7 linked regions of the Neurospora crassa OR74A genome follow. The protein of the gene in region 3 purifies or fractionates together with the protein of the main gene of each other region. This does not show direct contact. Links are inferred from orthologs where the notes say so. Each region holds a gene or a part of one and is shown on either strand. Other genes may lie near its edges. The genes, in order: NCU00925, NCU02511, NCU09894, NCU01524, NCU03702, NCU00105 and NCU09131.

What was found.
Region 1: the proteins of NCU09894 (region 3) and NCU00925 purify together in Saccharomyces cerevisiae (affinity purification with mass spectrometry; 10 studies listed by BioGRID, with this or other methods). This does not show direct contact. The link is inferred for Neurospora crassa OR74A from reciprocal best matches to the Saccharomyces cerevisiae genes MAK21 and NOP7.
Region 2: the proteins of NCU09894 (region 3) and NCU02511 purify together in Saccharomyces cerevisiae (affinity purification with mass spectrometry; 4 studies listed by BioGRID). This does not show direct contact. The link is inferred for Neurospora crassa OR74A from reciprocal best matches to the Saccharomyces cerevisiae genes MAK21 and NOP2.
Region 4: the proteins of NCU09894 (region 3) and NCU01524 purify together in Saccharomyces cerevisiae (affinity purification with mass spectrometry; 4 studies listed by BioGRID). This does not show direct contact. The link is inferred for Neurospora crassa OR74A from reciprocal best matches to the Saccharomyces cerevisiae genes MAK21 and BRX1.
Region 5: the proteins of NCU09894 (region 3) and NCU03702 purify together in Saccharomyces cerevisiae (affinity purification with mass spectrometry, with the first as the bait; 5 studies listed by BioGRID). This does not show direct contact. The link is inferred for Neurospora crassa OR74A from reciprocal best matches to the Saccharomyces cerevisiae genes MAK21 and NOP1.
Region 6: the proteins of NCU09894 (region 3) and NCU00105 purify together in Saccharomyces cerevisiae (affinity purification with mass spectrometry, with the first as the bait; 3 studies listed by BioGRID). This does not show direct contact. The link is inferred for Neurospora crassa OR74A from reciprocal best matches to the Saccharomyces cerevisiae genes MAK21 and NIP7.
Region 7: the proteins of NCU09894 (region 3) and NCU09131 purify together in Saccharomyces cerevisiae (affinity purification with mass spectrometry, with the first as the bait; 4 studies listed by BioGRID). This does not show direct contact. The link is inferred for Neurospora crassa OR74A from reciprocal best matches to the Saccharomyces cerevisiae genes MAK21 and NOP12.

What each region holds. Positions count from the first base shown.
Region 1 is NC_026501.1:6,705,681-6,709,600, forward strand, and holds NCU00925 (pescadillo), read right to left. Parts: upstream 2,732-3,920; 5' UTR 2,604-2,731; coding exon 612-2,603; 3' UTR 501-611; downstream 1-500. Other genes in the region: NCU00926 (hypothetical protein), read right to left, coding at 1-133; gpit-2 (glycosylphosphatidylinositol transamidase 2), read left to right, coding at 3,153-3,306, 3,389-3,920. UniProt on the Saccharomyces cerevisiae protein: Component of the NOP7 complex, which is required for maturation of the 25S and 5.8S ribosomal RNAs and formation of the 60S ribosome.
Region 2 is NC_026501.1:2,564,244-2,568,484, reverse strand, and holds the start of NCU02511 (S-adenosylmethionine-dependent methyltransferase superfamily domain-containing protein), read right to left. Parts: upstream 2,801-4,241; 5' UTR 2,387-2,800; coding exon 1,495-2,386; intron 1,425-1,494; coding exon 1,388-1,424; intron 1,315-1,387; coding exon 1,126-1,314; intron 1,057-1,125; coding exon 541-1,056; intron 478-540; coding exon 320-477; intron 253-319; coding exon 1-252. Other genes in the region: NCU02510 (clathrin heavy chain), read left to right, coding at 3,607-3,696, 3,787-4,241. UniProt on the Saccharomyces cerevisiae protein: S-adenosyl-L-methionine-dependent methyltransferase that specifically methylates the C(5) position of cytosine 2870 (m5C2870) in 25S rRNA. Required for 60S ribosomal subunit synthesis and processing.
Region 3 is NC_026501.1:3,985,463-3,989,686, forward strand, and holds the start of NCU09894 (CCAAT-box-binding transcription factor), read left to right. Parts: upstream 1-1,424; 5' UTR 1,425-1,429; coding exon 1,430-2,236; intron 2,237-2,293; coding exon 2,294-3,970; intron 3,971-4,032; coding exon 4,033-4,224.
Region 4 is NC_026502.1:3,192,924-3,196,447, forward strand, and holds NCU01524 (ribosome biogenesis protein BRX1), read right to left. Parts: upstream 2,321-3,524; 5' UTR 2,170-2,320; coding exon 2,024-2,169; intron 1,946-2,023; coding exon 1,728-1,945; intron 1,659-1,727; coding exon 1,045-1,658; 3' UTR 501-1,044; downstream 1-500. Other genes in the region: NCU01523 (GTP-binding protein ypt3), read right to left, coding at 3,342-3,481. UniProt on the Saccharomyces cerevisiae protein: Required for biogenesis of the 60S ribosomal subunit.
Region 5 is NC_026505.1:2,139,447-2,143,635, reverse strand, and holds NCU03702 (rRNA methyltransferase NOP1), read left to right. Parts: upstream 1-1,389; 5' UTR 1,390-1,676; coding exon 1,677-1,791; intron 1,792-2,027; coding exon 2,028-2,088; intron 2,089-2,150; coding exon 2,151-2,385; intron 2,386-2,446; coding exon 2,447-2,772; intron 2,773-2,830; coding exon 2,831-2,997; intron 2,998-3,058; coding exon 3,059-3,126; 3' UTR 3,127-3,942; downstream 3,943-4,189. Other genes in the region: NCU03703 (60S ribosomal protein L17), read right to left, coding at 94-249, 342-529, 732-945, 1,134-1,136.
Region 6 is NC_026503.1:2,638,601-2,641,953, reverse strand, and holds NCU00105 (ribosome biogenesis protein NIP7), read right to left. Parts: upstream 1,920-3,353; 5' UTR 1,819-1,919; coding exon 1,774-1,818; intron 1,696-1,773; coding exon 1,609-1,695; intron 1,429-1,608; coding exon 1,302-1,428; intron 1,210-1,301; coding exon 1,129-1,209; intron 1,060-1,128; coding exon 848-1,059; 3' UTR 501-847; downstream 1-500. Other genes in the region: pro-4 (glutamate 5-kinase), read left to right, coding at 1-423. UniProt on the Saccharomyces cerevisiae protein: Required for proper 27S pre-rRNA processing and 60S ribosome subunit assembly.
Region 7 is NC_026501.1:5,442,434-5,446,363, reverse strand, and holds NCU09131 (nucleolar protein 12), read right to left. Parts: upstream 2,801-3,930; 5' UTR 2,499-2,800; coding exon 2,488-2,498; intron 2,425-2,487; coding exon 2,361-2,424; intron 2,300-2,360; coding exon 1,190-2,299; intron 1,121-1,189; coding exon 521-1,120; 3' UTR 65-520; downstream 1-64. Other genes in the region: NCU09130 (hypothetical protein), read left to right, coding at 3,403-3,930.

The sequences.
Region 1 (3,920 bases), about 2.7 Mb from region 3:
ATGTGGAGGGGGCCCCATTCCACCGATTGGGGCGGGTTTCGTGCAGTTCATCTGATGCGATGGAATTAATCTCTTCAGTGTCCTTATCCCAATCCTCGTCGCCGGAATCTTCTTGATTCAAGTGTGAAGACATTGCATGGCCCAGTTTAGTGGGTGCTCTTCCCGCGTTGGCAGGGTTGTTGAGTGCAAATTCTGGTGATCAATCACTAAGGACGGGAGTGACAAGAGATTGAAGGTCGAAGAACCGCACTGACGTACGAAAGCATCCCAGTAGTAGTACCACAGCAACAAGGATGGAGAAACTGATGAACCTCTGACTCCTCACTCAATTCTTTTACTTTGTACTCTCACCTTTCGTTGGTCCTATTTTCGGTTCGTTCCAACTTCTCTTGGGCGTTACGGTTTGGTTCGTAGCGACCCCTAACCCTCAGACGAAAGCCTCGTGGGCGCTCGTTTTCATGTCACGATTATTCACATTTGCATCAGTTCAGGACGACGAGTAGGATTCAAAACTTGTCGATTACACAAAAAGAAAAGAGAAAAATGAGCCTTTGGTATCCCATTTCAAAACATAAAGTGCTAAAAAATTACGCCTTGCCAGTGTTTTAACCTTACGCCTTCTGCGCCTTTTCCTTCTCCAGCTTTCTCCTCTTGGCGCGGAGCTTCTCGTCCTGAGCGCTCTTCTTGTTGTTGGTATACTGCATCTGCTCAAACAGCTTGCGCTTCTTCTTGCTCAGCATGCCCTTGGCGCGCTCCAGGTCCTCCGCCTCCTCGCGTGCCTTCTTTTCAAGAGCCTTGCGCTGTTCTAGCTTGGCTTTGGTCTTGGAGTCTACCTTTGTATTCTGCACCTTCTTGCCTTGGAGCTCGGCTTCTAGCTCAAGCTGACGCTGGAGGGTCTTGGACTCCTCCTCATCTTCCTCAGCATCCTCCTCCTCGGCCTCCTCGGCATCCTCCTCGTCACCCTCCTCCTCTTCTTCATCGTCCTCGGCCTCATCAACATCCATGTCGTTTTCGACATCGGAACCATCCTCAGCATTACCCTTCTCGGCATCCTCGAGGTCGGCTTCAATAGCCTCGGCCTCGGTTTGCTGAGCCTCAAGGGGCAGAGTAGGATCGTACTGGCCAGGGGCGGCCTTGACGAAGGGGCTAAGATGGGGAGGGAGAGCGGCGCCAGGAGCATAGAGCTCAGGGCTCTTGAGTTCCTCGTCGTTGACGCAGTCCCATACCCATTGGGGCTGGACATATATCCTGCCGGGGTATCTCTGGTTGGGTCCGACCTTCTGGGCCGTCTGATTGTCCTCGCCATCGCCATCCTCGTTGGTAGCGGCTTGTACGACTGGCCTGTCAATGATGTGATGGGTGATGGAGGGATCCGACTCGTCATTTGTGAAGGCACCCTCGCCGAGGACGGAATCCCAGCCTATCCTCTTGCAGCCAAAGGCACGAAGAATGAACTCGAGAGGCTGGCGGGGGGTCTCACGGGAGAGGTAGAATGTGAAGTTGGCGAACAGCTGCGAAGGGTCACTGCTGCTGTACGCCGGCTGAGGAAGAACATCACCACCAGGGGCAACTGGCTCGAACTTGTCGATGGAGTCTGTGGGCTTCTCCTCATCGTCGGCCTCGGCATCTTCCTCGGCAGTCTCGTCGCTCTTGGACTCGTCCTCCTTCAGTTGCTTGATAATCTTGTCAACCTCAGCCTGGACCTTGGGGTCAGGACCCTGCTGTTGTTCCTCCCCGTTTGTGACGGCCTTGGTCTCGCCCTGGGTGGCCATGTTGACACCCTCCAGAGAGAAAGCGCCGAGCTCAGCACCGTTCTCGTCCTTGAGCTGGTCGAACTTGGGAGGATACTTGAGGCCGATCGAGCTGTAAAGTCGGTAGTTGACGAATCCAAGAAGAGTCATGTAGAACTCGACGAAAGTGCCCATAATGCGGAAATCGACATCGCCGACGATCCTCTGGTTGAACTTGTAGGGAACGAGCCAGAGAATATCCTCGCCCTGGATGTTGGCCTGGTAGTAGATACCCTTGATCGACAGGAACGACTTGCGCAGGCTGTGGGAAACAATAAGGTAGTGTTGGAATTCGAGGCAGAGACGCTCGCAGCGGGCGATCATCTTGGCGGGAACCGCGCTCGTGGAAGGGAGGTTGGCGAAGAGGAAGAGCATGGACAAGCAGTCATCGAGATCGCGGAGCGCGTCGTTGAAAGTCGGGTAGCGCTCACGGATGACGTGGTTGAGAGTGTACCTGGGCTTGCCAGTGGCCTCGGGGCGGGCAGCATGGCGCTCGAAGCGGGCGGCATCCGAAACATCACCTCTGCCAAGAGCACGGGAGATCTTCTTCTCGAGCACCTTCTGGTCACGGAACTTTTGAAGAAGGGGCTCGTGGAGGAGGTACTGAATGTCCTTGGTGTAGTAGAAGGTGGTCGAGGCAGTGGCCGACTTGGAAACCTTCTTCTTGTTACGAGGCTCGCGCGGGTAGATACCCTTCCAGATGCAAAGCTTGCGGAAGTCGGGAAGGCTAAGCTGCAGCTTCTTCACAGCCTGTGTGCGGGTGATGTAGTTCTTGGCCGCGCCGGCCTGGCCCTTCTTCTTGATTTTTGGCATTTTGGGGTGTGGTGGTGGTGGTTGTGGTTGTTGGGTGTAGGTGGAAGAGTGAGAGAAGGAGAAGAGGACCAAGGATGGATCTCTTCAGTCTGCAGACTCGATCGTTATCGAAGCCAATTGTAGGTGGGGGCGCTCTGTGCACTTGCAATCAACTTTTTTTCTGACCCTCGCGGTCCTGAACTTTTTATGCCACTTCCCACCGCCTGAGCTGATCAAAGATAAGATAACGTAGCGGATGGAAAGACGGGAGGCATCAGATAGGCACAGATGAGGCTACTAGAATACATACTGGGCCCGTCTGGCCCAGATAGGTTCCCGCTCCCGTCTGGATTGGATTCCAGAACCCCTTGTCCCACAGGGACCCGCCAGCTGTGGAGGCCGGGCCAGCTGTCGGTCTGCTTTGGCGGGGACAGCGATTGACAAGGCGACCTAACGTGCTGGGCGCGACTCCTGTATAGCGCAACTGGACGGGCATGTCGTTAGAAGTAACTTGACCCTGGGACAAGTTCGACATCACAGCTCCCACCTCGTCGTATGGCGAATTGAACAATGAATGGCGGCAAGGTAACGTTGAGGAGGACGGCTGGCTTATACGCCGGTGCTGCCGTCCTGCGACTTGCCCTCTTTACTCTGTTCCCCGGTCTTCCAGACCTCCTGACTGGCCGTGTCGAGATCTCAACGCCAGTAACAAGCTTCAAGCGCCGTATGTTGTAGCTTTTGTTTTTCTCTTCGGCATTCGTCGCATCGTCTCGAGGAACACAGGTTTGCTAACTACCAAAATCTAGTCCAAGAAGGCCTCTTCCTGTATAACCATAACGTCTCTCCTTACGATGGCGGCGTCTACCACCAGGCGCCCCTCTTGCTGCCCATCTTCAACTTGCTCCCGAGCTTCGCGGCGTTTCCCATCTTCACGTACCTTCTCTACATCGCTATCGATATTCTGAGCGCCCATGCTCTTTTAAGGATTGCAGAGTCTGGCGAGGCCAGCTCGTCTGCGCGCTTCACCTCCCCGCGCCGTGACAAGCGTTGGAGTGGTGCCATCATTGCCGCGCTCTTCCTGTTCAACCCCTTCACCATCGCGACATGCATTGGGCGTTCGACCACCGTCTTCACGACCTGTGCCATTCTCCACGCCGTCGCCAATGCCATCTCCGGCAGACCCTTTCACGCCATGGTCGCCCTAGCCTTCGCATCATACCTCTCCATGTATCCGCTACTCCTCCTCCCGCCTCTCATTCTTCTTTGCTATGACAGGCAGAAGTTGCCCGCTACCGGAGCGCCCAATGCGTGGATCAAGTTTACCGCGACCATGGTTAT
Region 2 (4,241 bases), about 1.4 Mb from region 3:
CCAAACCTCTCCTGCGCATAGCGTTGCGCTTAGCGCGCTCCATGTACTCCTTGTCCTCACCATCATCAAAACCGCCAAAGTCATCCTGGGCTTCGCACTCGGCACCAATGGGCGTCTTGTCGACAACTTCTTGGGCTTCCTGGGAAGCTTGGCCGTCCAGAGGCTTGTTGGACTTGTCGACGCCGTTGGCGCGGACAGCAGTGGCGGGCGTGGGGCCGAGTTTCTGGAACTTGGCGACGAAGAAACCGTCGACTGGAGGGTTGTGTTAGTGATGAAGGAGGGGAGGGAGGGAAAGGGGGTATAAGGAGGCGAAACGTACCGTTGTAAAGATGGGGGTAGTATCTGCGGGTGAGCTTGAGGCTGGGGTGGAATGATTTGCCCATGAAGCTGGTGAAGCCTTCCTTGCCGAAAGCCAAGCCAGTCTCGACGAGCTTGACGTTGGGACGGCGGCTGAGCGCATAGGCAACGACTTGCTCACTGTTTGTAATCTTGGGTTAGCGTCTTCTGAAAGTACAGTTAAGAACGATATGGAAAACGCACTTTTCCTCAACGGCAACGGAACACGTCGAATAGACAACGTAACCACCAGTCTTGCTGGCATGGTCAACCGAGTCGATGGCAGCCAGGAGAAGCTGCTTTTGGAGATGGGGGAGCTGCAGGAAGTCCTTCTCGTCTCTGTTGGTCTTAACAGAGGGATCCTTGGCAATGACACCAGTGCCCGAGCATGGGGCATCGAGCAAGACTCTGTCAAAGCCACCCATGACCCTGGGGAACTCACGCGCATCGTAGTTGCATACGATAACGTTTCTTGCGCCCAGTCTGTGAATGTTGCCGATCAAACCTTTGGCACGCTGCTTGCTGGGATCGTTCGCAAAGATCACACCGGTGTTCTTCATCAACGCCGCCATATGGGTGGTCTTGCCACCGGGGGCAGAGGCCATATCGAGAACACGCTCACCCTCCTGGGGGCAGAGAGCCATCACGGGCAGGAACGAAGACGCGGCCTGGAGGATGTAGTGACCAGCCAGATACTCAGGCGTGGCACCGAGGGGAACGCTTTATGCCCCAGTTGTTAGCCATTTGCATGAATCGCGTCGTTGTAGTCCTGATTTAGAATATACGTACTTCGAGTCAAAGACTTGCAGACCGACCTTGGACCACTTGCCTACAGGCTCGAGTGTGACACCGCGGTTGATGAGTGCTTGGGCAAGATCGCGGCGATGTGTTCGGAGGGTGTTTGTACGGATAACGACGGGGCGGGCACTCTCGTTGGCTTCGAAAAAGGCGAACGCCTCTCTGGGAGGGAACAGGTTGCTACAAACAGTCAGACAGTTTCCCCACTGGTGGTATCGCCGCAGACAGGCATGCGACAGGTTGTAAAACATACAAAAGCTTTTCAGCGAGGTACTCGTTGTAACCGTAGTCTGGCAAAACCTGAAGTTAACATTTGTGCATTTCACGAGAAGTATTGCGCAAGGAACATCGGGTCCTTACAGGCACAGATATCCTTGATGAGTTGGCTGGTGTACTCGGCGCGACTCTTGCCCTCTTCCGCCGAATTCGAAAAGTCGTCCAGGATACGGATGGCGTCTGTTATCCTCGTTCTCAACATCTGGAGATCGGGTGCCAGCAAAGTTTTGGTCTTAGTCTGAAGTTGGTCGTCGTCATCACCGAGGTCATCACCACCAGCGATGTTGGTCTGGAGCGCCTCGTCGCGCAATTCGGCCTCGTTCTCCTCTGCTTCCTTCTCTCTTTGCATATCCAATTTCCTCGAAAGACCCTCGATGTTGGCGGCTGTGAGCTTCTCCTCTCTATCCTCTTCGTCATCCTCATCGTCAGAGAAGACGAATGCCTCCTTCTTGGTAGCACCGTCCTGGTCGGAATCGTAAACCGAGTCGTCGTCAGTGCCGAGGAAATCGTCTCCTAGCTTTTGAACGTCCATCTCATCGCCGTCGATATCAAGGCCCTCCAGGTCGGACGCGCCAAACTCGTCGTCCATCTCCTCGTCATGATCGGGCGAAGGCTGCTTTGCCTTCTTAGGCTTCTTGGACTCCTTGGACCTGTGGGCGGGCTTTGTGCCAGTCTTCTTCACCTCCTTGACCTCTTTCTTGGCGCCCTTGACTGCGACAGTGTTGGAGCCGGATGTCTTGGGCTGCTTCTTGACAATCTTCTGCTTCTTGGATCTTCTAGTGTCGACTTCGGTCGTGGTTTCGTCAAAGGGAATGCCCTTCTTGCGCTTGAGGTTGGCGAAGTGCTCCTCCGAGAGGGGCTCAGGAGGGCCCTGTTTCTGCATGCGACGTCCGACACCCATTTTGATGGTATTGCTGGTCGTCTGGTGGTGATTGGGATGTTGTTGGGGTTGGTTTGAACACTGATAGCCCACCATCGACAGGCGCTTGTGGATATTTCTCCGGGTCGATTTTCTTTTCTGAAAAAGCTTATCGATAGCAATGCCAAGTCTCTTTCCTCAAATCGGGTTCCACCTCACTGCGGTCCCAAAAGGTGAGCCATTGGTCAGTGCCCCACATTAGTCAAGCTGGGCCAAGTTCGGAATCCCTGTAGCAACAGCTGACGCTACCCCTGGAGCTGGGCTGTTCTGGAGTAGGGAACAGCTGCCCCTGGAGCCCGGCATGAACGGCGCCCCCGGAGGCAGGCGGCCTGGAGGTATAAGGTACCTAGAGGTAGGAAATGGAAGGACCGTCTGACGGACCTCGCAGGAGAGGCGATCAATGCGGGCAAAGGAAAGTAGAAGGATGACGGGATGAGGGCGGGCAACCTGGACCGGGCGGACAGCTTGAAGCGAAGGGGGCAGGCAGGCCTCCCGGGCAGGCGCCTGCCGCCTGGTCTAGGCGCACCCGACGCAGGGGGAAGCACTGAATGGAGCCGGCGCCGGTGGGCGGTGGACGCCCCGGCCGCGAGGTCCCGTGTTAACACATCACTCAAAAGCAGGCAGGTAACCTGAGAGGTACTAGAGGTACCTTCCGTCTGCGCTGAACAGTTGCGGCATGTACAAACACACTGGACAGCTGGAGAGGCATCTCACCTCAGCACCTTCCATCTTTCCTGCTGTATCTTTCATCTCTCACGGTACTAACTTCCCGTAACAAACGACGTCTCCTCTTGCTGCTTTGCATCCTTCAACAACCGCGATTCTTCTCTATTCTTTCTGCTGGAGCATTGAAGTGAGGTGACATCGAGGTACCTGCTCGCCTTTACTTTACGTATCTGTAACTGAGCGGCAAATCGCGACTCACCTCTCACCCACAGTTTGGCGGCGGGTTTTACTGCGTACCTGCCTTCTGGACCTTGCGTTAATCCTTCCACCTCCAACCTCCTACCTACCTCTACCTACCTGATTCATCCGTCCTCTTTCCCCCTCCCCATTTCTCGGGAGCTCGGTCATTTTCCCCCCAAAGTACAACCAACCACCACCACCACCGCCTCCTTTCACGTCGCCGCCATTCCATTCAGTCCACGGAGCTTCACGAGCCTCCATTTCCCCAATCTTTCTACTTCCCAGCGGATTCACCTTCCAGCCGCTTTTGATAAGTTGGCTGCTAATCTTCGTCACTCTGCGCGCAGCTTAGCGCAACACCACCGCCCATCATGGCTCAGGCCCTACCCATCAAATTCCAGGAGCTGCTGCAACTCAGCGCCCTCGGCATCAACCAGACTGCCATCACTTTCAATACCTGTGTACGTTGTCCTCACCTTGCTCTGACTCTGCTAGTGACAGTTGTCGCGCCTCCTCTGGCACCCCTGCTGACGTGAACCCCCCGCTCCCAGACTCTAGAATCGGACAACTGGGTGTGTATTCGCGACAAGAAGGACGAGGCAGCGTCCCCTGAAGTCATCATCGTCGATCTCAAGAACGGCAATAATGTTATCCGACGTCCCATCAAGGCCGACAGTGCCATAATGCACTGGACGCGCCAAGTAATTGCCCTCAAGGCCCAGGCGCGCACACTCCAGATTTTCGACCTCGAAAACAAGGCCAAGCTCAAGTCGACAAACATGAGCGAGGATGTCTTGTTCTGGAAGTGGGTTAGCGAGACCACGCTTGGCTTGATCACAGATGGCTCTGTTTACCATTGGGATGTCTTCGACCCGAACCAGCCCGCTCCGGTCAAGGTCTTCGATCGTAATGCTAATCTCCAGGGCAACCAAATAATTAATTATCGGACCAGCGCCGACGGAAAGTGGATGGTTGTTGTCGGTATCTCACAACAGCAGGGCCGCGT
Region 3 (4,224 bases):
GTAAAGGGGGGAAAGAATAAGGAGAATCCTTTAGAAATTGGGCAGCTAGCTATACTATTTGGAGGGTTTCTAGTACCCCTAACAGCTCTAATAAGGGGTATTAGGTACATTTGACACCCCTTATTAGCTCCCTCGAGGGGTCCCTGGCAATTGTAAATTTATATAGCGAGCCGGCTAACGGCTAGCACTTAGCAGCTAGTAGGTATACTATACTAAAATAATACATATAGTGAAATTCCTAGTATTTGTTAAGTATTTGCATTTATTAGGTCTAGCATTTACGAGGCACATTACTATAAATAGAAGTGTCCGGTGAGTGGGATTCATTAGTAAATCCAATATATACCCCACGGGCACTAAACTCCTAGTTGTAGGTCCTTCTACAAGTTAATACTAGTTTGTTTGTTAGTTTGGTTCTTTAGCTATACGTTGAATAGGAGAAATTGTTTAAAGCTTCTATTAGCCTTTAAAGAGAGAAAAGGGCCTCTGTTGGAAGCGTTATATAATAATAGCCAGGGTGGAAAATGCTATGGAAGCCTTCTTATACCCCTCTTTGTCTCATTTAGGACCTCCAAGACTGGAAGATATGAGAGAGTAGTCCCCTTTTAGTACCTGTCTGAATGAGGTTCAAACGTTTTTCCTACCCTCGACATTTGGTAGCTGGCTCTAGAGTAGAAATTGGCTTTTTTTTAGTACTAAACCTACAAACACACTAAAGTTAGATTGTACAATTCAATTCTAAATCAAATATTGAAAAAGTTTAATTGTACGGTCAATATTATCTATCCGTACGGTAATGAAAAATAGACTTTCATATTCTTTTTCTAACTTAATAGAGTTTAGTATTAACTTACCAAAATGCATTATATTTTTTCTGATCTTTTACTCTATCTAACACTCTTTTTGGAGTGACCAGACCTACCTAGTAGCCCTAGGAAACTCTCAAAGAAGATAGCTATTATAAATAAATAATTAATAAGATTTTAGATGAAAAAGGCTTAAGGGGTAGTTTTTCCATGATGCTTAGGGATATAGATTTGGTACCTACCTTAAAAAATTCCTCAAAAATGAACGAATAGTTTGGTGCCACTTTCAGTTTCATTAGTCTCCGTTTTACTAAGTTATACTTAATAAAGCAAAAGTAGACCACCGTACGGATAGACAATATTAACTGTACGATTAGACTTTCTCCAAATATTACCCAGCGTAGGACTTAACACTTTTAGCACTATTTCAGGCTTGCATCGCCAAACTCCACCGAATGAAACTTGATAAGAAAAAGTGTCAATCGAAGTACCGCGCCAATGATGAACCAGCCGAGGTTTGGAGAGTACTGCATAGTACATAGAGATTTGTCAGTGTACTGTGTACATCTGTACCTCCACTTGCTCCACTCTTCCTGCAAGACGCACGAGGGTCCGCTAGGTGCATGATCCAAGCATTTTTTTTTCCAACCCTTCCTCGTAGATGGTTTATTTTGCATCACCAACAGCCAACCTCGAGACACATTGTGCCGGCCCGCTGTCCATTGATTTCGGCAACGACGGATTTAGGAGATATGGGCTCATCCAAGTCACCGAGGCAAAGAAAGAGGAAAGGCATGGGGCCGGCTTTCGACGAAGCAGCAGCACTTGCTCAACTGACCGAAAAGATCGACCAAACTCTCGCTGGCGTCGGCACTGACCAACACGCGTCACCAAATCGCAAGAGACCGAACACCACAGCTGATGATCGAGATGCAAAGAGGCGCCAGAAATCTCTACTGGGCACTGAAGAAGGACAAGAGGACCGTTCCAGCAAAGACCAGTCCCACAATGCAACAAAGGAGGTTCTGCTGGAGGAAATTTTGGCCTTGGGCGGAGACGAGGATGATCTTGAGCTTGTCGCCAATGTTGATTCCGACAATGAAGAGGGACCTGGCATGAAATCTGCGTCGGCGCCCGAAAAATCCCTGGATAAGTCATTTCATGAGGAACTGACAAAGTTCGCCTTGAGCCTGGGCTTCCAGAACATACCCCGCGAGGATGACCTTGAAAGCGTGTCGTCTGAAAACCCCGTCGACGAGGAACAAGACGAAGAAGACGACGAAGAAGAGGACGACGACGCGGAACAAACAAAACAGGATGACAGCCAGGATCAGGAACAGCCTCTAGCCATTTCTGCCACAGTAAAAAGTGAGAGCACAACTACGACCGCCCAAGACACCCTGCGCGGGAAGAAAGGCAAGAACAAGCTGGTTAGTTCGACGCTCTCGCTGCCGCAGACTTACCTGGCGGTATGCTAACTTGAGTAGGGTTTTGAGCCCAGACCTGACTGGCATGCTCTCGACCTCGAGGGCCTACCTGCCTTCACACCATCTGCCGACGTTAGGCAATATTCTTCAGCGATTGCCAACCTCAAAGCTTACGCGGACGCTCTCTTGAAGGAGGACGCGGCAAGATACAACGCCCTCCAGGCCTCCAGCTCCACTCAGAAGTTCATGTCGACCATTATGTCTTCCGGCACCTTATCCGACAAGGTATCTGCCTTAACCTTGTCGATACAAGAGTCTCCTCTCCACAACCAGAAAGCCTTTGAAACCCTGATCGGGTTGGCCGGCAAGAAAAGCCGTAGTCAGGCACTCGCTGCCCTGGGCGCTCTAGTGGATCTGCTGGGCAATGGCACAGTTCTGCCAAGTAATCGCCGGCTTCGTCCGTTCAACATGCAACCCGCCTTGCTGGCCGCTTTACAAGATCAAGCTGTGCTGCATTGGGTTCAGGGCCAGAAGCTCCCAGCCAAGCTAACTGATTCTTACCTGATGATGTGGGCATACGAGGATTGGCTCAAAGCAGCGTATTTTCGCATTGTCCAGCTCCTCGAAATCTGGTCGACTGATCAGATTGAGCATTCGAGAATGCGCGCGCTGGAATTTGTTTTCACATTGCTCCGGGACAAGCCGGAACAAGAGGCCAATTTGTTGCGACTTCTTGTTAACAAACTCGGTGATCGCGAACGGAAAATTGCATCTCGGGCGTCATACCTCCTCTTGCAGTTGCTCAACATTCACCCTGCGATGAAAAGCATTGTCATCAGCACGGTAGAGCAAGAGGTTTTGCTCAAGCCAGGCCAAGGTCTGCGCACCAAATACTACGCCATCATCACCCTGAATCAAACCATCTTGAGCACCAAAGAGCCCGCTATAGCCAACACGCTACTCCGAATCTACTTCGAGGCTTTCCTTTCCCTCCTCAAAACTGGCTCATTGGGAAACCTGGAAGCGCTAAATTCCGAGGACAAATCTGGCGGCAGCAACAGGAAAGCTAAGAAGGGCAAGCGAAATCACACCGAGGCTTCTGCCAACGAGCAGGATACGACACAAAAACTCGTATCCGCACTGCTTACTGGTGTCAATCGTGCGGTACCCTTCACTACCGCCGACGATGAGACCATGGAAAAACATCTCGATACCTTGTTTCGCATCACGCACTCGTCGAACTTCAACACCAGCGTGCAAGCACTCATGCTCATTCAACAGCTCGCCGTGACCAAACATCTCGCTGTTGACCGATTTTATCGGACATTGTACGAATCATTATTGGATCCCAGACTCATCACGTCATCGAAGCAAGCATTGTACATGAATCTACTTTTTCGAGCCCTGAAGAATGATGCCGACGTGCGGAGAGTGAAGGCTTTTGTCAAGAGATTGGTTCAGGTGCTTAACCTGCATCAGCCGTCCTTCGCATGCGGGGTGCTATATCTGATTTCCGAGCTGGAGAACATGTTTCCTGACCTTCATTCGTTGCTTACTGTTCCCGAGGAGAATGAAGATGATGGCGTGGAGGCTTACAAGGATGTCAATGATGATGCGGCTCTGCAGCGCAGTCTCTTGCGTGAAGACGCACCAACTTCCCGTCGTGCCACAGGATATGATGGACGAAAGAGAAATCCCGAGCATAGCAATGCGCACAGAAGCTGCTTGTGGGAATTGGTAAGTGCCTATTTGAACTCTGATTGCATGTGAAACCAGTTTACTAACCTCAAAACCACCAGGCTCCTCTTCTATCTCATTTCCATCCATCCGTACACGTTTATGCCAGTAACCTTCTCGTCCGTCAAAAGGGCCTGCCGAAGCCGGATTTGGCCAACCACAGCCTCATGCATTTCCTGGACAAGTTTGTCTACCGCAACCCCAAGATTACCGAGACCAAGCGCGGAAGCTCAATCATGCAGCCGGTCCTCGCT
Region 4 (3,524 bases), on a different chromosome or scaffold from region 3:
ACAGGTCCCCTGTAGCGAACTTTCACAATGAGTGAAGTGAACCCTCTACAACCTATCCTCAACTCTCTCCTCCGATATCGATGAGTGAACCTGAGTCATGACCAAAGTACTCCGAGTCGTTTTTTTTGCTTCTAAATTTTGATCAAAAGCGTTAGCCATACGTGTTCAACATTAGACTCAAGCCATTTGTCTTTCGCTTTAAGGAGCGACGTCCTAGGTATCGGCTCCAGTCCTTATCTCTTGTTTTCAAGAAGCACCAAACTCGCGCCAACTCCCAGGCACACTACATGACTTAGACGACCCAAAGCCCCTGAGAAGATGGCTAGTCCGTCAGAAAATCTGAAATTTGGGACGATGTCGCCCAAAGCTACCTTGGGACAAAACATGGTACTTTTTCTTCTTCTTCTCCTTGAGGAGTGTACTGAAGGTGGTGATATCATCCCAACAACTCAACGAAAGAGACACCTCGTGTCTCTTATATATATGGAAACAACCCAAATCATGGAGCAAAAATGTGAGACAATATCTCACAGCGCAACTGCATTTAAGGTAGAGTCTAGGTCCTATGCGAACAACATCTCCCTCAGGAGTGTGGTTATAGACAGTCAACCGCTAGTGAGGTGCCGAGCAAAGTACTTGCTCTCCTACCCTTCTTTGACCATCTCCTTTCAACACGACCAAGACCGGAGCCAGGACGGCGTTCATCACTCAATCTTGATCTGATGTGTCCGTTTTCGAGCCAGCACCTTATACGCTGAGTGCTCATCTACCACTCGATCATGATCCTCTTTCCCAACTGTCAAAAGAGGACAGCTCGTCCGTCTCACACATCCCCACGAATACTGTAATGTTGTACAATGCAAATCGATTTCCTTTCTTTTTCCCGAACCAGACCAAACCAGCCAGCCAGCAAAAGTACAAAAAACTCCTTGATTACCCCTAAACCTAAGGCGTGCGTTGCTTTGATGTGTCGCAAGCGAACAGACGTGATGAAATCGTGTTGTGAAAAGCTCTCTCTCTCTCTTTCCCCTCCTCCTCCTTTCTCTAAGCAAAGAGCTCCCGGGTATCCAAGACATCCTTCTCCTTCTTCGCCTGGGCCGTGAGGGTCTCGAGCTTGCCGAGCCTCTCCTTGACCTGCTCCACCCTGGTGTTGTGCCTGGTCGCCTTGGCCTTGCGCAGCTCCGAGCGCACCTGGTTGGGGGAGATAAAGCGCTTGTTCTCGTAAATAATGGGGCCGCCGAACGCGCCCTCCTGTATGATGATGGGCGTTAGGACGAACCGAGGTCCGATCTCAACCAGACTGACGTCTGTGTCCTTGAGCTCCGCGTTGGGCGCGCCCTTTCTCTTTTTCGATGATGACTTGTCGCTCTCGGGGACAATGTCGTTTCCTTCGCTGTCCTTCTCGCCCTTGGCCTTCTCCACTTCTCGGATCTCGTAGTTGCGTACCCAGATCTTGCCGTCGGCAATGCTGAAGCTCATGACGTGGTCGATAAACGGTTTTGACTTGCGCGCGCCCTGGGGGACGCCAAACATTTGCAGAAACACCTCCTTGATGACGCGGTAGTGCGGCTCTTGCTCGAAGGCGAGGTCGAAGGAGAGGAGTGGCCTCGAGCCCTTGAGGCAGTTACCCGTGAAGTGAAGCTCTTCCATGGTGTGCACTGTGCTTTTTGTTAGAACCCGATTTTTCCTCTTTCACAATGCGTATCTCGGATATGGATAGTGCTCACAGTTTTGGGCGTGGAACTTGACCGTAGGGCCGTTAGGAACCTTGCTAAACCACATGTACAGATCCTTGCCCTTGCGCGCCTCGAAGAACATGACGTTGTTGCAGTTGTAGAGCTCGGCAAGCTCGTTCAGTTGGTACAGCTTGGACTTGGAATCGAACTTGACGTCTTTGCGGCCGTGGGGGAGCATCGCTGCGAGATCGTTGAGGAGATGTCTGTGTCTGTACTCGGGGCGCAAAGGCGGTTAGCAATTGACCCTTTCTTCTTCCATCTTGCAGGTATGCAGGGTCTATATGTACCTGTAGGTAACGCCTCTGGACGAGAGAATCAGAACTCTCTGCTTGTTCTTCCGAAAGCCGCCATTGGTGGTGGTGGTGTTGTTGTCGTTCTCCGTGTCCTCGACCTTCTTGGCGCTCTTCGAGAGCGACTTGTAAACGGCGGCCATTTTCTTTTTGTTCTTGTCGTTCTTTGGGTATCAAAATCGGGCGAAAAACAAGGGTGACTGAAGTTGGTGGTGGTTGTGGTGGAAGTGATGGCAGAAAAACGGAATGCGGATTGCAAAGGTGAATTCAATGCTCCAATCCACGAACGTCGCGGGCGAAGCGCAGTGATGGAGTGCAGGCTGTTCCATCTCAAAAAAAGTTCGCCGGCCAATCGCAGCCCCACTCCGATAAGCTTCTCTTATCTTACTAGCGTCCCTGTTCCGGCCCCCCTGCTTGGAACAGCTGAAAGGCGGTCGGCGGTCTGGGCAACCCGCATTTGTCCCACTGATGGACCCAACCTGGAATCCGGACCCCCAAGTTCTGGGGATTCCATTGCCTACACACACTGTCCAAGTTCCACGCGTTCTTCTTGTCTGCCCTACAGTGGGGGATGGGACGGGACTGGCCTCTTGTCCGCACTCAAACCCACTTCAACCGCCTCGGGTGACGCGATGGGAGTAATGAGGGACAGTCGCCATAATCCATCAGGCAAGCCCAGATGTCTTAATTTGTATTGACTGTTTCCCGCTGTCGCACATAATCAACTTGAATGTCATAACGAGATCCTGCACGATTATCGCTACATAGGTACTCACTCTCGAGGTACTCCTCTTCTCCCACATTGTGGATGCAATAGATGGAGACCTTGACAACGTGGAGCAATATGTACCAGGTTGAGTTAAGGGCTGTTTATCGCCCATAGTTCATTTCAACTAAATAATATCTTTCGTAATCCATGCGCAAGTGATGGCTTCGTTAACCACATTGAGGAAAATTCCAACGACCAGCACGGGGGGAAAAGGGAAGAAAGGGGTAGTAGTAGTAATAACAACAAAAAGGAAAGGCTGGAAGACGAGCATCATGATCCTTTCCCCCCTCCCCAAAAGCCCAAAAAAATAGAGAGAAAAAGAAAAACAGACCATCCCATCGGCGACCGTGATGTAATAAGACTGGGCAGGATCCGTCCGTACTTTTCCCCCGATGCTGCTCTTCATTGCTCATCATAAGCCTCCATTGCTTCATGTCAGACATATGTGACGCCGTTGTTGGTTCGGCACCCTGTTGTACTCTGCTGCACCCTGCACCTCAACCCTTCAGGGCCACTCGGTTCCCGGCCCGGAGAATCAAGCACCTCCTAACAGCAGCCAGACTTCGCCTGGGGGTCGTTCGCGGTCTGACTGAGCGAGATGCTCTGGCCAGACAGGTTTTGGTGGCCCTCGTTGGACCCGCTGGGGCCGTTGTCGAAGTTCTTGGTCGACACGATCTTGTAGATTTCTAGATAAATGATCGCATGTTAGCGGTAGGCTCGCGCCAGAGC
Region 5 (4,189 bases), on a different chromosome or scaffold from region 3:
AAAATGCCATGCTCGCGTACACCGTTCCGGAAAAAAAGTGAAGCCCTCAATCAAAACATCCCCTCGTCCAATCACCTAGCTATCAAAGCGCATTTAAGCGGCAGTGATGGCACGGCGGACGCGAGCGCCACGCTGGCGGGAGGAAAGGTGAGCCTCCTCGCGGACAACGGCCTCGGACTTCTGGACGACCTCATCGGCCTCAGTGAGGATGAGCTCGATGTGGCAGGGGTTGGACATGTAGGGGTTGATCTAAAACATAACTGTTAGCCAATGACCGGCTTGATCGTCTATCTGCCGGCGCAGAAGCAGAAATCAGGGGGGTATCTCCGGGTTTGACGTACGCGACCGTGAGCGCGGTAAGTGCGGCGGCGCTGCTTGGGGGCCTGGTTGACCTGGATGTGCTTGACAACGAGGTTGCCAGTGTCAAGACCCTTGGCATCGGCGTTGGCCTCAGCGTTCTTGAGGAGACCGAGAAGGAACTCGGCGGACTTGGCGGGCCAGCGGGCGCGGGAAACACCGAACTGCTTGCCTATATGACGAAGAAACGGTCAGCACCGTGTCTTCTATGTCCTCCATTCGATTGCGGTTTCGTGTCGGTCGGTCGCGGTTCCATCATGCTGACAATGCCCCCCTATTCCCCCGCCACTTTGTCCTCCCCACTGTCGTCGTCGTCGTCGCATGATGTACCGGTTCGGGTGTGTTTGTGCATGTAAATATCGAGTAAGTCGTACCTTGGGCGGCGCGGCCGGTGCCACCAGCGTAGCGTCTCATGGGGACAGCCTCCTTCTTCTCAAGAACGTTCTCGAGGAACTTCTGAGCACGCTGGAGCTTCCAGCCATTGATGGCCTGGGCGGTCTCACGGGTGTTCTTGAAGGAGACACGGAGGTAAGAGCCGCGCGAGCGGGCGGACTTAGCCGGGGCAATCTCAGTCGCAGCGTACCGAACCTGCGATTTTGAACAAGACTCGGTCAGCGATTCCCTCTCCTCCAAGTGCTCGCAATGCTCGCAAAGCCGTCATTGTCGTCCGTTGAGACTTTCGTCGTCATTTCGGCTGCAGAAGCCCGAAAACTGTCCTGAAGCAAAATAACGGCGGCGATTCTCTCGTTCGGCGGATTTCGCAGGGATTTACTCACCATCTTGCCTGCTTGTCGATGAGAGGACGGGGAATCGACCAAGTGTGATGTTCAGAGGTGGTGATGGGTTCCAATTTTGGCGTACAAAAACCGATTTTCGCGATTAGGGCTCTGTGGGCACTGCGCAGGTGGCTCGTGCGGACCGTCACTTTGCCTGAGGCACGTGCACGCGGGGACAGTAAGTGCTAGCGCCGATAACAGCCTGCCTCCTGGACTGCCGGCCGTGCACGATAGCATCCGCAACAAACTGGAGAGCCTCGACCGCCACGCCAGGACGACAGCCAATTGCAAAGGCAGAAGGCCTCGACCGGAAAAAAAAGTGCTCCAGCGATGAGACTTCGTGCCCCGCTTTTTTTTCTTTCAATCCATGTCCAGGAAATTTTGCACCCAGCTCCAGCAAAAGCTCTTTTCCGAGTCCTCGACAGCGCCGCGCGACAACTCTAAACCCATTGTGCCTCGCACGACTGATCTTACAACGCGTTTCGGCCCAGAATCGCAACTCATACCGACTCCGACTTATCAATACCGACACATTCTATAAAAATGGGCTTCGAGCGTGGTGGCAGAGGCGGCGCCCGTGGCGGTGGTCGTGGTGGATTCGGTGGTGATCGTGGTGGCAGAGGCGGCGCCCGTGGCGGTAGCCGTGGTGGCTTCGGTGGTGAGTTTGGCCTCAATGCCATCGCCTGAATGGTCTTTGCGGTTATGTCGTTGCTTCTGTTCGTCATCTTGAGAGATGTCTCTGCGTCTGCTGCGGCCCGTGGTCGCCATGCATGCCTCTTGACTTCTCGTAGTAGGATGGCGATTTCAGTCGAACTTCATATCGCAACTCGACTCAACATGCGATGGCAACAGCAACCACATTAACGCAACACTTTACTGACAATGACTTAACAGGCGGCCGTGGTGGTGGTGCTCCCCGTGGTCGTGGCGGTCCTCGCGGTGGTGGCCGTGGCGGGTACGTCTTGTGTTCAAAACCCTTGATTACTCCAAAGACATTGACTGACATTATGAGTATAGTGCTACCCGTGGTCGCGGTGGTGCCCGCGGTGGCGCCAAGGGTGGTGCTGCTGGCAAGAAGGTCATCGTCGAGCCTCACCGTCACAAGGGCGTCTTCGTCGCTCGTGGTGGTAAGGAGGATCTCCTCGCTACCGTCAACCTTGTCCCTGGCGAGTCCGTCTATGGCGAGAAGAGAATCTCTGTCGAGAACGCCTCTAAGGAGGAAGGTGGTGCTTCCACCAAGACTGAGTACCGCGTACGTTTTCCAGGCTTTCCAGCTTGTGGCCTCAGACAAAGACTAACATTGGACTTTGCAGATTTGGAACCCTTTCCGTTCGAAGCTTGCTGCCGGTATCCTCGGTGGTCTTGAAACCATCTATATGAAGCCTGGTTCCAAGGTCCTCTACCTCGGTGCTGCCTCCGGTACCTCGGTCTCTCACGTTGCCGATATCGTCGGTCCTACTGGTTCCGTTTACGCCGTCGAGTTCTCTCACCGTTCCGGCCGTGACCTCATCAACATGGCTACTCGCCGCACCAACGTCATCCCCATCGTTGAGGATGCCCGTAAGCCCATGGCTTACCGCATGCTGCTCCCCATGGTCGATGTCATCTTCGCCGATGTTGCCCAGCCCGATCAGGCCAGGTAAGCCGACTTATACAGATCCTTGACACTGTATGTGCCTGACACTAACACATTTCAGAATTGTCGGCATCAACGCCAAGCTCTTCTTGAAGCAGGGTGGTGGTCTTCTCATCTCTATCAAGGCTTCTTGCATTGACTCCACTGCTCCTCCCGAGCAGGTCTTCGCCTCTGAGGTCCAGAAGCTCCGTGAGGACAAGTTTTTCCCCAAGGAGCAGTTGACTCTTGGTACGTCCATCCGCTTCCCTTTTGGTTGATAGAGCCAACAATAACTAACAATCACCCACAGAGCCTTACGAGCGTGACCACGCCATGGTTTCTTGCGTCTACCAGCAGAAGGAGTTCGTCGATAACTGAGTTTCGAATTAGTACTGTTCTATCTTCGTTGCTCTGTTCTGGAACCTTCACATAATTCGGTGTTCTACTGGCAGGATGGTTTTGTAAATCTGGAACGGCGAATGGCGTTTGGGTATCTGCCTTGTTTTAGCATTGTGGGAATAAAGCACCAGGGTTCTTAGACTGATATCCGGAGTGACCCCGGTTGCTTCCATCTTACGCCGCCTTTCACGATCTCGTCACGACTCCTAAGTCACCGCGCAACGAACCTCCTGTTCACCAGCGAAATTGGCCAGCCTACAACACATCAAGAACGATCACCAGTCAATCACCCTAAGAACGAGAAGGGCGCTGGATAGTCAAGCAGAGGTTGCTTTTATCGGCGCTTAAAATGCTCGACAGCTTGGTTCGTCTTTATGGCGTTTGAAATCTGCGAACTGAGAGTCCCTCCCCTTTCATCAGGGTATCACGTCGAAAACTGAGACTATTCTGGCCATTCGAGTTTCAAAGGAGATTGTTTGGGCCTGGGGACGCAAGGGTACTGCAAGCCAGTCATTACATGGCTTTGAGGATTATTTAAACATGCCTAGAGTCTATCCAGGATCAAGAGGATGCTGGGCCGTTGGTTTCGCTTGTTGATGAGCAAATTTGAGCTTGCTTAGTCCTATAGATTTACATATCAGAGTTTTGGGTCATCTTTGCTCCTTATCATCGGCCTTGTCGGCGGTCTTGTTACTTCTTGAGCTTATTGTTTGTTGCTTTATTCGATGCTGGATATGCTCTGATCTATGATTTGCATGCTATCTAGCTCTTCGATATCTCACCCCATTGCCTCTACACCTTCCCCGTACTAAGCGCTCTTGCACCGCTGAAAATCTTATCTTCTTGGCTCGTTTGCTTGCGGCGTTGATCAGAGCTGACAAAGTAACTCAGGCGACAACATATCCCGGGACGAGACGCGCAGCGTTAATGGAGAGTACGGACAGTGTAAGTGTGATCCGTTACCGGGTACTAAGCCAAAGTACCTCTACAACTTGTGGCCCAAGCCAGGCTAAAGGATATATAATTACTATGGTCCCGGGGA
Region 6 (3,353 bases), on a different chromosome or scaffold from region 3:
CCCTCGCCCGTCCGCGACCGCTACTTCTGGATCCTGCACGGCCTGCGTCCGCATGGCACTTTGTACATCGACCAGGGCGCGTACAAGGCTCTCCTCGGCAAAGCTGGGCTGCTTCCCGTCGGCGTAGTGGACGTCGAGGGTTTCTTTGCTCAGCAAGAGGCTGTGCGCCTGTGCGTCGTTGACAAGCGCCGGTCTACGCCCGGTCCGGATGGCAAGATGTGGGAGGGTGAAGCGGTCGAGGTGGGCCGGTGCCTGACCAACTACGCGAGCGCCGAGATTGCAAGGATTAAGGGACATCAGAGCGTGGAGATTGGGCAGCTGTTGGGGTATGCGGATAGCGAGTATGTGGCGCAGAGGGAGAGTGTGAGCTTTTACAATACGGTGAGTAGGCCGGCTAGTCCTGTTGGGGGACATCGGGCTTGAAGGTATGGCTTGGTAGAAAAAGTGCGATTATACAAAAACATGGACGGGGTTCGTACCTTGAAATTACGTGTTGAAAACGACGTAAACAGATACAATTTGAGTGTTGCGTAAGTCGGGATCTGGACGAACAATGGCTTCCACAGGTATAAAAACAACGAGGTCGAGAGGATCCCATCACACTTCCTAATAAAGGATGTAGGTATGTCTCGGTCCTGCCCCATTGCTCGACGAGAAAAAAGATCAAATTATATCTGCCCAGATAAAAATGCTGGAGGTATCTGATTCTGACCAAAAGTGTATGTGTGTGTTGTAAACGCCAGGACGCCTTTATGGTACTTCCCTAAAGCAAAAAAAAAGTTCATATGACCTTCTCTTTTCCAAGCCTTCGTTAATTCCTTCCCTCTTTCTTACTCGGACCGACACTTTAACCAGCAAAGAGGGTGTCCTCATCACGGAGGTACTCGCCGCAGTCCGATTGACGGAAGCAAACGATACCCGTGGGATCAAGGCGGCGTGCCTCGGTTGTGCTACGAGCTGTGACACCGAAGCCAAGGGGGATATCAGCCATGCTGTAGACGACGACACCGGAGTGCTCGGGGCAGTCCTCGGACCAACGGCCGACGTGGGCCTTGACGACTGTTTTCAAATGCCCGTTAGTTTTCATGAGGCTAGTAGGACAGAGAACCAGGAGATGGAGAGGTATACCGTTCGAGCCGTAGAGGAAGGGCTGGGCACCGTTGTCCTTGACCCAGATCTTATGACGGGCGTGCTCCGAGAGGATAGGAACTATAAGGTTGGTAATCAGGTTGTTAGCTTTCACATACATTCCAACTGTTTCAGTAACCGCATAAGGATTCGGCATTGGACATGGAACGTACGGGCAGTGATGTGAAGTCTGAACTTTCCCGTCTTGGTCATCTTTCCAAGGCAGGTACCCAGGCTGAGGAGGGCATCGCGGCTGACACTGGTGGCGAGGTTGGCAACGGAGAGACGGACGTAGTAAACCTGTATATCATCATCTTTGTCAGTTTATCTGGCCCTTATTCTGGTTGGTGGTGGTGTGGTGGCTGTCATCGCCGTCGCAACGGCTGTCGTTGTCCTCGGTGGCGCACAGCCAAAAGGGAAGAGACGGTGTATCGAGCAAGGTCGAGAGGAAGCGAGGGAGGCGAGAGAGGCAGGACGTACGCGAGAGTGGTTCAGACGGAAAACGTATCTGTCGCCATCATCGAGAGGAGCGATAAGACTCTTGAGATCGGTGCAGTAGTTTGCAAGCTTTAGGGTGCCAAAGCAATCAGTCAGCTGTTGTTCATCCTTGTTTGAATATGACATTGTTTCGGCACTGAAACTGACCTTCTCGAAGACGGTCTTCTGCTCCGTTTCTGTAAGAGGGCGCATCTTGTCGGTGTGTTGTGAATTGATGGAGTTGGTGATGCAATGCGAGGGAATCTCCAAGCGCTGACAGCCGCAACCGATGGAGGTTCGCCCGCGTTTCTCTGCCAGAACTTTTTTTTATCGACAAGGAAACCCACTCTTCCGATAATGGGGAGACGCCAAGCCATCAATTCTCCGCTTTAGATGCAATGGCTGCAGTGGATACTCGTAGCTAAAATAGCCGAGTCCCACTTTTACCCGCTTCTACGTTTGCCGTGCGCGACCCCAGCGTGCCGCCCTAGCGACACTGTCACAGGCCGGCAACTGAAGTGACAACCTGAAGCGGATAATATGCCACATCCATGAAGTTTATATTTCCAGAGGGAACTCCTGCATCGCGATGTTCATCCAAGTCCTGGTGTGATGGAAGAAACAAACCCCAGTCGAGGCCAATGATCTCCAGCTGTATCCAGCGGGCTACTCTCTTTCAGGATTCGGTCCTCATCTACACGATTGTTTTCCTGCGCGGCGAGCCTGGCTGACTTCTCAATCGTCCTGGTAGCCCAGATTGCTGGCAGGGTTAACCGTGCAAGTTAGCTTTCCAGAGATTGTAATGCATATCGGAGTGATATCGCAGCAAAGAAGCTCGCTGTTCAACTGACAAAAGCGTAACTAGAAGGCCACTTGACGTTGGAAGTGGCAGCTTGTGGTTCTGGTCGTGAATGGGTCGAGCCATGGCCTTGCACCCATCAAAGAGGGATTATAAGTCAACTTCTACTGACACAAAAAGAAGCCAAACTAGTATCAAGCATCGAGTTGATCGATTGCCATTCAGACTCCTCAACCAGTGTCTCCGTTCCTGTCCGAGGTTCTCAAGTGGGGAGGTGTTGATGACTACATAGTGGCAAACGAGACGTGGGAGTATTGTGGTATAGAATACCACCGAATGCACCGAATTCATCCATCTCGAAGGAATATGAAGTGTGACCAACCAAACTGGCTCACGTTGGGCGCGCTGGTTAGAGGAATCTCATGATACCCAACCCACCACGATGCGCAACATTACGTATTCGACTATCTCGTCGTAGAAATCACGGATGCGCAAGGAGCTTCCCTTACGCGGTAATCGCCGAAGACCTTACTGCGCCTTCTTGGCCAGACCTGTAGATGGGAAAAGGTATGTATGGTGAGAGAGAGATGCTGGAGTGTGAGGATACCGACATTGTGGTTCGTCCAACTGGGAGAGAACGTCCCTTGTTGTTCATCTGCGCAAACGAAGACAAAGAACAACGGTGAAGGATTATAGTGGAAGGAGAAGACGGAAGTGAAAAGAAGCATTGCAGTAACGTCCAGCTGTTTGGGTCTCGACAATCCTCTCTGGTTGGAGTCAGGTCGATGCAGGTACTGCGATGACGGAGAGACAGTCCGAAAGCGCGGACCCCACTGGAAAGCTTCCATGTGCCCCGCCCTCCAGGTACCCACTTTATACCCCTCAAGCCCGAACAGGAGCCAACAGTATATGGTGACAGGAAGACCGCTGAAGATTCGAGTCGCTTCGT
Region 7 (3,930 bases), about 1.5 Mb from region 3:
CCTACACAGCTCACCCACAATTCCACGAGACATCATGTAGAAAGTTGGTATGGTGCACTTGAAGGCTTTACACGTTGTTTCTTTTTTATTTTCTTTCAATGTGGCCGTGTTGTTAATTTTTGTATTGTTTGCGATTCCCTGTCGCAAGAACCACGGAGCCAGGCTTAACAGTCGTTCCACGGTTATACTGCAATTTCAGACAACTACATATGTACCTAGTTCTGGGCGCCAAGGCTCTTCCTCCACATTCCCGTCATTGCGAAGTATCACGCGGTTGGGGACAGTCCGTTGAGATACCTTCATATGCGATGACTGCATTACAGCCTATCCTATCCTATCCATACATGCGCGCGTCATGAATCGAAGGCTTCTGTTCACTTTCGAATTCTGCCCCTTTTCTTGAAGCTTGAAAATCCACGGGCCGCGCCGGATGAAACGCGCGCACCCGCACCACGCCGGCTGCTGCCCGTTGGCTCTATACCAGCAAACAACCCTAAACATCAGGCAAATGGCCTAGCACTTATTTCTTCCCCTTCCCTTGAACCTTCCACTTCGAAGCCCTCGCAGCAGCACGACCAGTCTTCTTCTTACCACCACCCGCATTCGGCGCCTTGTTCTTCTTGGCGCCCTTGAACTTGAGATCCTTAGGTTTTCCGTCTGCCGCACTAGCACGCTTACCCTCGAGAATGAAACTCTCGGGGGACTTGTAGGCGCCCGGGACTCTGGGACCGGTCGCCTCCGTGTTGGCGCCCGAGGCGTGATTCCTCCTTTGGTTGGCCTGGTATCTGTCCTGCTTGTTGAAAGTCTTCTTCTTGTCGGAGCCGATGACCTGTCTGGCAGTGAACTTGCCGAGGAGCTTCTCAGCGCGGCCGGCGATGGTCTTGGCTTCGGCGGAGATCTTGGGGGCGTAGTCGGATTTCTTGGAGCCAGGACCCTTCTTCCCGTTGTTGCCTTTCTTCATAGTTTCCGGAACGGCACCCTGCGCCTTGAGCTTCTTGGCTTCGATGGCACGCAGGGTCTTGTGAGGGGCCTTGCAGCGGCTGACGCGTAGCTCGCGGGGGAGCATGGGCGGGAATTTCTTGCCGTTGAGGAGGATGGCTGACTCGACGGCGTTTTCATCCTACGGAGGGGGAACAGAGTTGTTAGTTGATAACGGGCAAGTAAGAGACAGAGAGAAGTGATAACTCACGCAGAACTGAACGTAGGCGAAGCCCTTGCCGACACGGGTGACAGGGTCGCGGACCACACGAACGCTCTCAACTTTGCCGCCCTCTTTACCGAATACCCGCCAGAGACCTTCCTCAACGTCCATAGGCTGCTTTGTCCGCTTCTTCTTCTCGGTCACCTCCTTACCGTCTTCGTCTACCTTCACTTGCAGTACTGTCTCGTCATCCACAAAACCAAGGTTACCGACGAAGACGCAGCGCTTGTGGTCTACCGGGGCAGGATGGGCAACGCTGTCGACACGGATGTGGCGATCCAACACGATTGTGCCGTTGAGTTTCGAGCAGGCAAGACGAGCGGCCGCAGGGGTACTGTAGACAACATAGGCGTTTGTCGACTTCGTAGTGGCCTCCATCACGGACTTCTTGATATAAGCGGCACGCTTGGGAATGGCAGCGGTAGCGAAGGCAGTCGAGCGGAACCGTATCGACTCAACCTTTTGCGCAGGTTTCGCCTCCTTGTCCAACACTGAAGCCATATGCTTCATCAAGGCCTTTTTGGCCGAACGAGAGGTGACGGCCTCGACGGCGACATTGCTGAGGAAGACGGTGCGGTTGGCCTTCTCAATCTCGTTCTGGGCAGCATCGGGCGCTAGCGATTCGTGAACGGGGACCTCATCCGCAGACTCGCTGTCGTCGTCGTCCTTCTTCTCGGCCTTGGCGGTATCCTTCTTTTCTCCGGATTGCTCGTCGGCCTTGAGACGCTTGCCAGCCGGCTCTTCATCGTCCTCCGCCAACTTGGACAGGTATTTGTGTTCGAGATTGTCGTGCTGGTCGGGTTGCTTCCGCTTCCGTTTCGGTCCATCTTCTTCCGGGACCTTTCCTTGTTCTACAACAACTTCGAGGGTCGCGACGGCTTCGTCTTCGCTGTCACTGTTGTCTTCAGCCTCGTCGTCTTCGTCATCCTCTCCAATGCCGACCTCGGAATCGTATTCTTCGTCAAGCTCGCTCAGTTCCTCGTCATCGCCCTCGTCCTGAACGTCTTCCTCTTTCTTGGAAGGTACTGGCGCCTTCTTGGACTTTGTCGGTAGGGGCTCGGAGTATTTTGCAGCTGGGCGGGGCTTCGCTGGACCAACCTACACAAGATTAGCCATGTAAACTTCCAATTGCCTGTCTGGTCAGAGCGAGATGACTTACACTGGTAGCAAACAAAGCATCCAAGCTAGGATCAACCTTCTTCACCGGCGCAACGAGTCCTTTACTATAATAGTGGTGTCAGAATACTGGAAGAATGGCGTTGACTGTAGCGTAGGGCTGTTCGCACGTTTTACCCATTGTGAGTTTTCCGTCGTGTGTAAGCGCAATGGATGGGAAAGTGGCACGATTCGCCAATCAAGCACTTGTGATTGACTTAGTTCTAAGAGCACGGAAAAACAACTGAAGTTCGACGACGAGGCGAAAGATGTGATTGGCTGTAAATGCTGTCAAAATCGAATTGCAAAGCTTCCACTTCTGATTTCTAGCAGGATGTTGTACAAGGCAAGACCAGTTTCTATGCAGGCAGGTTCAATGGTCCAGGGTTTCAAAGGGTCGTCGTTTCTACCTTCCCCACTGCGCATCGTAAGGACGAGTCGAGGACCGTGGAACATCTTGCATCCTCCCATTAAAAAAAAAAACTCGCTTATCAGTTGTTATCAAAGCTGCCAAGACTCACCGCCTGCCATCGCCTTTGTGTGGTGCGCTGGGCTGTTGGAGACGGGCGGCGGCGGCAGGCAAGCGGGCAGGCAATGGAGCCCCCCAGAAACCTGCCGGTTGCCCATTTGTGTTGCGTGCTGGTGCGGTGCTGTGGGCGCTTGTCCAGCTCCCAGTCTAGGTCGTCAACCAGATACCTACTGCCCGCTCCTCACTCTCCCGATCTGTCTTCCTACTACTTTACCTACCCAGACCGCACGTTATCTCTTGACAATCGCGCCCTCGTACCGACAACAAAGCCATATCTCCGAGACATTTCATTGTGTGCGAGCACACATTTTAACCTTCCGGCATAAACACACTTTACCCTGATCGTGGCGCCACAACTTCAGGTGCTGCTCTTGAGCTGCCCGTACAGTTCGGACGTCCAGTCCGCCGTCCACGACTAAATTCTACGTGGCCGTCCAACTTTCCACTGCTCAGCTGCTCAACCCAACATTGGCGCGTCGTTGCTTAGTTTCAATCTCGTCGGATTCTATGATCCGCGATGGCTACCGGTGACACCGCGCTGTCCTTGGCTCTCTCGAGCCCCCCTCCGCCTCTGCTCCAACACAGCCCTAGCGATGTGTCAAGCCCACTTAGTGACGTGGAAGACAAGCATGGAGATCCTGACGACATGGATTTGGACATGAACAGTAACCACTCTCAACATCGCGAGACATCGGTCCGAACTGACAATCGCGATGGCGTCGACTCGGACCTTGGCGCTGAGACTGACGACGAGAGCAAGCTGTCGGACGTGGATATTAATGACTCCGAGGCAGAGACAGAGAGGCTCTACGACACACCACCGAAAGATCGAGTATCGCGCGACATCGTAGACACCGCGGGTGAGCCTGGCACTCGACAATTCACCGACCGCCGCGATCGGACGTTCGAGCGCAGCCCTAGCAAGCTTCAGCAGCAAATCAAATCTGATTACGAACCGGAAAACACTGCCAGCGGGCGAAACACTCCCTCAGAAGAAGCAGAAGTGGGTGACGAAGAGGCCTCGGAAGACCTGAGTGACGAAGAG